2 linked regions of the Saccharomyces cerevisiae S288C genome follow. The protein of the gene in region 2 binds, or shares a complex with, the protein of the main gene of each other region. Each region holds a gene or a part of one and is shown on either strand. Other genes may lie near its edges. A codon is read from its position in the direction of its gene.

Evidence for each region.
Region 1: the proteins of SHE3 (region 2) and SHE2 are in contact, whole or in part, in a crystal structure (PDB 4WNL), measured with the Saccharomyces cerevisiae proteins. Residues at the interface, in NP_009688.3 of Saccharomyces cerevisiae: Val363 (codon at 1,236), Leu364 (codon at 1,233), Pro365 (codon at 1,230), Gly366 (codon at 1,227), Val367 (codon at 1,224), Lys368 (codon at 1,221), Arg369 (codon at 1,218); in NP_012792.1 of Saccharomyces cerevisiae: His150 (codon at 2,219), Lys153 (codon at 2,228), Trp157 (codon at 2,240), Glu190 (codon at 2,339), Thr191 (codon at 2,342), Ile194 (codon at 2,351), Gln197 (codon at 2,360), Glu198 (codon at 2,363), Ile199 (codon at 2,366), Leu200 (codon at 2,369), Leu211 (codon at 2,402), Ala214 (codon at 2,411), Trp215 (codon at 2,414), Ile218 (codon at 2,423).

Annotation. Positions count from the first base shown.
Region 1 is NC_001143.9:194,788-197,799, reverse strand, and holds SHE2 (She2p), read left to right. Parts: upstream 1-1,771; coding exon 1,772-2,512; downstream 2,513-3,012. Other genes in the region: MYO3 (myosin 3), read left to right, coding at 1-1,451; RMA1 (putative tetrahydrofolate synthase), read left to right, coding at 2,934-3,012. UniProt on the Saccharomyces cerevisiae protein: RNA-binding protein that binds specific mRNAs including the ASH1 mRNA, coding for a repressor of the HO endonuclease. Part of the mRNA localization machinery that restricts accumulation of certain proteins to the bud and in the daughter cell.
Region 2 is NC_001134.8:494,548-498,746, forward strand, and holds SHE3 (She3p), read right to left. Parts: upstream 2,323-4,199; coding exon 1,045-2,322; downstream 1-1,044. Other genes in the region: OPY1 (Opy1p), read right to left, coding at 1-792; CCZ1 (Ccz1p), read left to right, coding at 2,616-4,199. UniProt on the Saccharomyces cerevisiae protein: RNA-binding protein that binds specific mRNAs including the ASH1 mRNA, coding for a repressor of the HO endonuclease. Part of the mRNA localization machinery that restricts accumulation of certain proteins to the bud and in the daughter cell.

The sequences.
Region 1 (3,012 bases), on a different chromosome or scaffold from region 2:
CCTGCAATGAGTCTAAAACGAAAGGATCGTACATCAGAAGACAGGTAGGAATTAAGGATAAAGTTGTTTTTTCGATAAAGGGGGAATGCCTGCACTCTAAATTTGGCAGATCAGCTCAAAGATTGAAAAAAGTGTTTATCTTAACAAAAAAGACATTTTATATTATTGGACAAACACGGGAACAGAATGCTATGAAATATACACAAGATTATAAAATTGATGTCGGTAAAATTAAACAAGTGAGCTTAACAAACCTCCAAGACGATTGGATGGGCGTTATCCTTGTTAATAGTACACAATCCGATCCACTCATTAACACGCCTTTCAAGACGGAATTAATGACACGTTTGAAAAAATTAAATGAAAAGATAATGATAAAAGTTGGTCCCACGATTGAGTATCACAAACAACCAAACAAGTTGCACACTGTCCGCTCAAAGATAAGCGATTCAGCACCGAAATACGGTGACATCTACAAGTCAAGTACAATATACGTGCGTCGTGGACACCCTGCTAACTCCAAATCGAATAAAAAACCTAAGAATCCAGGTGGGTTGAGCGGGAAACCTATCAAAAGCAAAAAGAGTAAACACAAATCTACTCATAAGCATACACATAGCCATAGAAGTCATAGGGATGCTGCAAAAAAGCAACCTCTCCCTTCGCAAAAACCTGTGAATCCGTTATCTTTGGCAGCTACCGCTGCACAGGCAGCATACAATCCTAAACCGGATAAGACCGTACCAATAAAGTCATCTGCAATCCCTGCTGCAAAAGTAAGCTCGAAACACAGCTCAAAACCCTCATCGAAGGAAAAAGTCGCAGTAAAGAAAGCCTCCTCAAGCCACAAATCCTCATCCGCCAAGCAAAACCAGGTATCGATGCCACCTTCAAAAGGGGTTGAAAAAAATAAAGAACCGTTAAAGGAGACAACTGCAACTGCAACTGCAAACATACCAATACCACCACCCCCTCCCCCCATGGGCCAACCAAAGGATCCGAAATTCGAAGCTGCATACGACTTTCCAGGTTCCGGATCATCTTCGGAGTTGCCATTAAAAAAGGGCGATATTGTATTTATAAGCAGAGATGAACCTAGTGGTTGGTCTTTAGCAAAGCTTCTCGATGGAAGCAAAGAAGGTTGGGTTCCTACTGCTTATATGACTCCTTATAAAGACACAAGAAATACGGTGCCTGTTGCAGCGACAGGGGCAGTGAATGACGTTACAAATCAGAAATCAAGCCAAATCGACAATACCATTTCAAGTGCACAAGAAGGTGTACAGTTTGGAAGTGCAACAGTTGGACCCACTAGTGATAATCAGAGTAATCCGGTGGGGACGTTTAGCGACGGTTTAGCTTCTGCATTGGCAGCAAGAGCAAACAAAATGCGGGCGGAAAGTGCTGACGATGATGATAATGACGATGGCGATGATGATGATGACTGGTAATTAACATGAATATATAGATGTTTAGTCTCTTATAGAATGGTTCTTCGTGCATGCCTCTTAACATACCAAAAGTGCATTACATATACTTTTAAACATACTCTCGCAGAAAGTTAAAGTCCCTTTTTTTTTTTTTTTTTCATTTTTTGTTTGTATTTTCCCGTTTTGAAAAACTCCCACTTTAATGCAGGACATCGTTCAAAACAAGCTTTAAAGATTTGACAGTAAAATCCTCACTTTACTCAAGACATTTTTCTCAAAAAAAGAGAAAGCACAGTAAACCCTCCTTAATTTTCCTTTTGCATAATACCAGACACTTAAAAATGAGCAAAGACAAAGATATCAAAGTCACTCCTGGAACTTGTGAATTAGTTGAACAAATACTCGCCTTACTCTCCCGGTATCTCTCATCTTATATTCACGTGCTGAACAAGTTCATCAGTCATTTGCGAAGGGTAGCTACGCTACGATTCGAGAGAACTACTTTGATTAAATTTGTTAAGAAATTGAGATTTTACAACGATTGTGTGTTAAGCTATAATGCATCAGAGTTTATCAATGAAGGTAAAAACGAATTAGACCCAGAGGCGGATTCGTTTGACAAGGTAATTTTACCAATAGCTTCAATGTTTGTTAAATGTGTTGAAACGTTTGACTTACTGAACTATTATCTAACGCAGTCATTACAAAAGGAAATTTTATCTAAAACTTTGAACGAGGACCTAACGCTAACAGCAGAGTCCATATTAGCCATTGACGATACCTACAATCATTTCGTGAAATTTTCTCAATGGATGATTGAGTCTTTGCGTATAGGCAGCAACCTGCTAGATTTAGAAGTTGTTCAATTTGCCATTAAATGCGCAGATGAGGACGGAACGAATATCGGAGAAACTGATAATATCTTCTTGCAGGAGATTCTTCCTGTCAACTCCGAAGAAGAATTTCAGACCTTGTCAGCTGCGTGGCACTCCATTTTAGATGGTAAGCTGAGCGCCTTGGACGAAGAATTTGATGTTGTCGCTACTAAATGGCATGACAAATTTGGTAAATTGAAAAACTGAGGCCTTCAGTTTTTAGCTCAAAAAGAGCAAATAAGTACCACTAGTTAATAGAACATATATATATACATGAATAGCCTCATCACATAGCACAGAAAGTAAGCTTTCAAAACACTGATGATCGGCTCTTATTCTGGCGTACTCATTTTCAGCATCTCAAACCGCGCTGTTTTTTTCTCACTTTTTGATACAATAGGTATGCAAAGGAGAATGGCAGGTGTGCCAAGGAAAAAAAATATGAGGAACTATAGCCTAAAATGAAGCCTCCTCTGATGTGGGAGGGACCCCAATTTAGGTCAATAATGATTTTTTAAATTTATATTCTTGTCTTAATGAAACTTGAGTCAAGTCGACCAGTTTCCTGACGATTTTGATATAGAATAATATTGCTCGTTTGGCCGGCAACAGATTACATAAGAAGCAGATGGATGATATAAGCGGAAGGCAAACTTTACCTCGAATAAACCGTTTGTTGGAGCACGTGGGAAATCCCCAAGATAGTT
Region 2 (4,199 bases):
TTTAATGCTTTTCTTTAACTTCCCAGTCTTGAAAGAGTATAAATTGAACGAAGTATTAGTCAATTCCACATTGAACTTTTGCCATTTAGCCCTATTGAACAGTTTCTTCTTTTTCACTTTTGTGTAAAGAATCCCAGAACAAACCTGGTGCTCTGCATTTCTTGGATCGAACATCCTATAAAATTCTTTATCTTCACGAGACAGTTGCTCATCCATCGTCAAACTGCAAGAATGCTTGCTGCTAGAAGGACCCGCCTTTTCGTCAACTACAATTAAATCATCATCATCCTCTTCTTCATCATAATCACTACCTGTAGTGACACTTTCGTTGCCACTAGGACTAGAGAGGAATTTTTCAAGGGCAATTTTCCAATTATGCATCAGTTCCATACCAACCTTCTCATTTTGCCCTCGTGGAAATTTGAATATTAAATCCTTGGATGGAGTATAAACAGTTAATATACCATCGAGCTCGCTTATCTTAAAATTAAGTATGTCAAATCTCGGTATGACACTTATAGCCTCTCTTTCATCCCGAGTTTTGTAATAGGCAAATTGGTTTTTCCTCAAGACACACCAATATTGATGGTCTGTTGTCCGAGGCCACCATAAATGACGATGGTGATGATGGTGATGATGGTAACCCTGCGGTGCACCATCAGCAGCTCCATTGTTACCTGAACTGGATTGAGCTGTCGGCGTTTTATTTTGAGACGTTGATGGCTTCTTGATGAGATTCGATGCGATCAAAATTTCATGCTGACTTGACGGAGCAGTCGCACCTGCTATCATTGGTCTTATGAAATTTACCAAGGCAAAATTAGCGTAATTATTTATGGTTAATTCACCTACTGGCTACTATTGCGTACCACATTTTGGCCTGTTCGTTTAATTTCAGCCACATTATAGTAGAGAAAAAACCGTTGTGAGTGACCGAAAGTGAAAAATATGGATTCGTGTCTATAAAACCTTAGAGGCATCTATTTACTTTTGTTCTATTATCTAAATGAATCCTATATATATACTCCCTTGTGTCGGCATATTCTAGGATTGGGCCCCGTGAACAACCATACTATTTCCCTTTTTCTTATGAGTGGAGGAAACAGTTCTTGTAACACCGGGAGGCACTGAGATTGTGGGAGATGTACTTGGATCGTTATTATGCGTTACATTTGTTTTACTACTGCTCGAGCTTGGTTTTCTTACTGAGGCAGTTCTTTTAACACCAGGCAAAACCGGGGATGCAGATTTTGGAATAGAACCCGATGACAGCAAAGGCGACGCAGTATAGAAACTTCTTCTTTTATTGTTACTGCTATTACCATTGGAGGATGAATCGTTTGTGTTCGGCGTCTTTCTTAATTTGACCATCTTAATAGGAAGCATATCCTGTGCATTATTGCTACTCAAAGCGTCAGCGTTGTTGCTTTCCACCTGGGTTTGTACATTCTTCTTCAAGGTTTGTACTACCGCGCCTTTATTACTAATCTTCTCATCGTTTCTTTTCAAGACGTCTTTCAAATCCATCTTTTCAGCAAAAGTTGATATCAGATTTTCGTTCGTCTGGTACAGATTTAGCCAGCTTTGTAGATTTAACTCATCTAAAGAGTGAGTGATTATCTTGCTTAATTTTGAATCCTTTTCTGTTTCCAGAGATTTCAAATCTTTCACAGAGTCATTGAATTTATTTAAATTCAATTCTATATCTGAATTTGAACTAGTATCTGAACCATAATTTAAATTTTGATTACTTAACTCTAACTCCAACAAACCGATTTTTTCATTTAATTTGGAAATTTCATCAGAATAGTGGTCTCTGTAAAGATTTTGTGACTCCAATAATGAATTATAGTTAACTTCCATATTTTGCAATTTTTCAGAGCAAGATTGTTCAATGGCACTAGAATTTTTCGCCAATTTACTCAATTGATCCATTTTCTCCTTTTGTTCATTGTAACGGTTACTCAATTCGCTATAATCTTTCTCTAGCTCTTTTAGCTTCTTGTTCTTTCTTTCAAATATCGAGTTGAGATTTTCGTTCTCGTTCTTCAGCAGATTTAAATTTTCCAGTAGTTTTGATTCTTTGGATTGTGCTAATTCCAATTTACTCAATAAATTTTGAGATTGCGTAGTCAATTGTAGATTTGTTTTTGTCAGCATATCAATCTGGTCATGCAGTGATTCAATGACTCTCGAAGATGAGGCATTTTGGCTGGAGGTATTTCTATCTTTTGTGGGGGAACTTTCCAAGTTTGCCATAAAAATATTATGGTGAGGTGCCAACTTGCTTGAAGAAGTCTGGGTATTATCCTGGTCCGACATCTTACACAAAAGTAGTGTCGTTGAACCTTGGCGTGCTTGATAGACGAGCTAACGTTTGGTAACCCCTTCAGACTGCTGCTACTCATGGCAACAAATCAATAAACAAAATGCAATAGTAGTTAGTAATGAAGCTCTCGCCCGAACAAAAGACGAAACGAGCGGGTAACTATTTAGCCTATTTTATTGCGATGACAATAATATGTAGTAGCAATAGGGAAATAGTTTCATTTGACGTGGAACCAAAAATACATTCTAAATCGTACAACTATTAAATTGATATATGAAAGACGGATATGAGACTACACTATATTACGGTTTTTGATCCATCAAGATCTACCAACGAAAATGACACTTTCAAGCAGTTGCTGCTGTTCCATTATTTTGGCACTACTGATTCAATACCCTCTTTAAACGAAAAACTGTCCATCATAGGAGTAATACAGGGCATTTGGTCACTTACGAGTTCATGCGTAAACAAGGACGGCGAAGATTTAGAGAAAATTATTGAGCTGAACAATGATATTATTTTTTGTATTAAGGTGGAATCAAGATTTTTCATCAGTCTAGCAATTTCGAATATCAGCGACGATCAGAGTGCCATACCTTTACAGTATCTCAGTGCTTACTTATGGCTTAGTTACAGGTTCTTCAAGCTACTCAATGGGTCATTCAGCGGATTTAACAAGGACTTCCGCAAACTCACGGATTTGTTGAACGAATTCGTTATTCCGTTCTGGAATGATATTTATTTGAATCTAGAAACTGTAACGAATAGATCATTTACTGTAATGTGGCCTGGTTTTTATAAAAGGGCAAATTTTCAACATTCCTCTTATAATCCTGGAGAAAAAAATAATGTCGAAGAGTCATGGGACGCTATAATCTTGCAGAATATTCTTTTAGATAAAAAGAGTTATCTAGGACTAAAGGACATTTTGGTTTACCACCTACCAAAGCGCACCAAAGCGGCTAATAGGGAGTCTATGGGAACAAAAACTTATGGACTAGTAAGGAACTTTACCAGTGACCTGAACACATTACCAGATATCTCAAATTGGCTATATCATTTGCACTGCACCTATGGTGAAATATCAAGTCATATATTAACAGGAAATGTCCATTTTAAAGAGGAGCTACAAGTAGAAGAAGAACAAGAGCGAAGTCGTGATACAAACGGAAGAGACGAAGAGGAATCACAGGAGCAACAGCGACGGGAGCACCAAGAGACTACGCAAAACAATACAAGCGAACTCTCTCTATCGGAAAGAGTGATACACAACGTAACACTCCCCATTTCTTTTGCATACGACGCTATACATGAAGTGAGTACCACGACTGGTGTTTCGGGTAGCTTATCCATGATAATGGACTATGTACCGAAGCCCCATTGGCCGTTCATTTCATCCTCTAACAAAAGTGCCGACAAAAATAATTACTCAAATAGCAATGATAACGCAAATTCGAATGCCCCACTGATGGCGCAATCAGAGGCTGTTGGAGGGACGATAGGCAACTCGAGATTTGGTTTCCTAATTTCCCCATTGAATTCAGACCTGTTGCCATCATCATACCAAGCCCTGAAACTGAATTTGAACTTTGAAAACTCCAAAGACAAGGAGGATTTTTATAATTGCCTATTTTGGTACTTTGATGATTTTTTAATTGTAATTGTCTGTGATCCGGACTTCAACAAGATTTGTGAAAGAGACTATCTAAAGGACTTGAGCTTCCAATTGTGTCAGAGTATGGAATGCCTAAACAATGAGATTTTAAACTCTCAAAATTGCGATAACGTGGAATCCTTTGCTTATGTGATCAGAGATAACGTCACCAAAGAAATCGACTCGTCCGTTCCATTTGGGTCTCCAAAATTTACT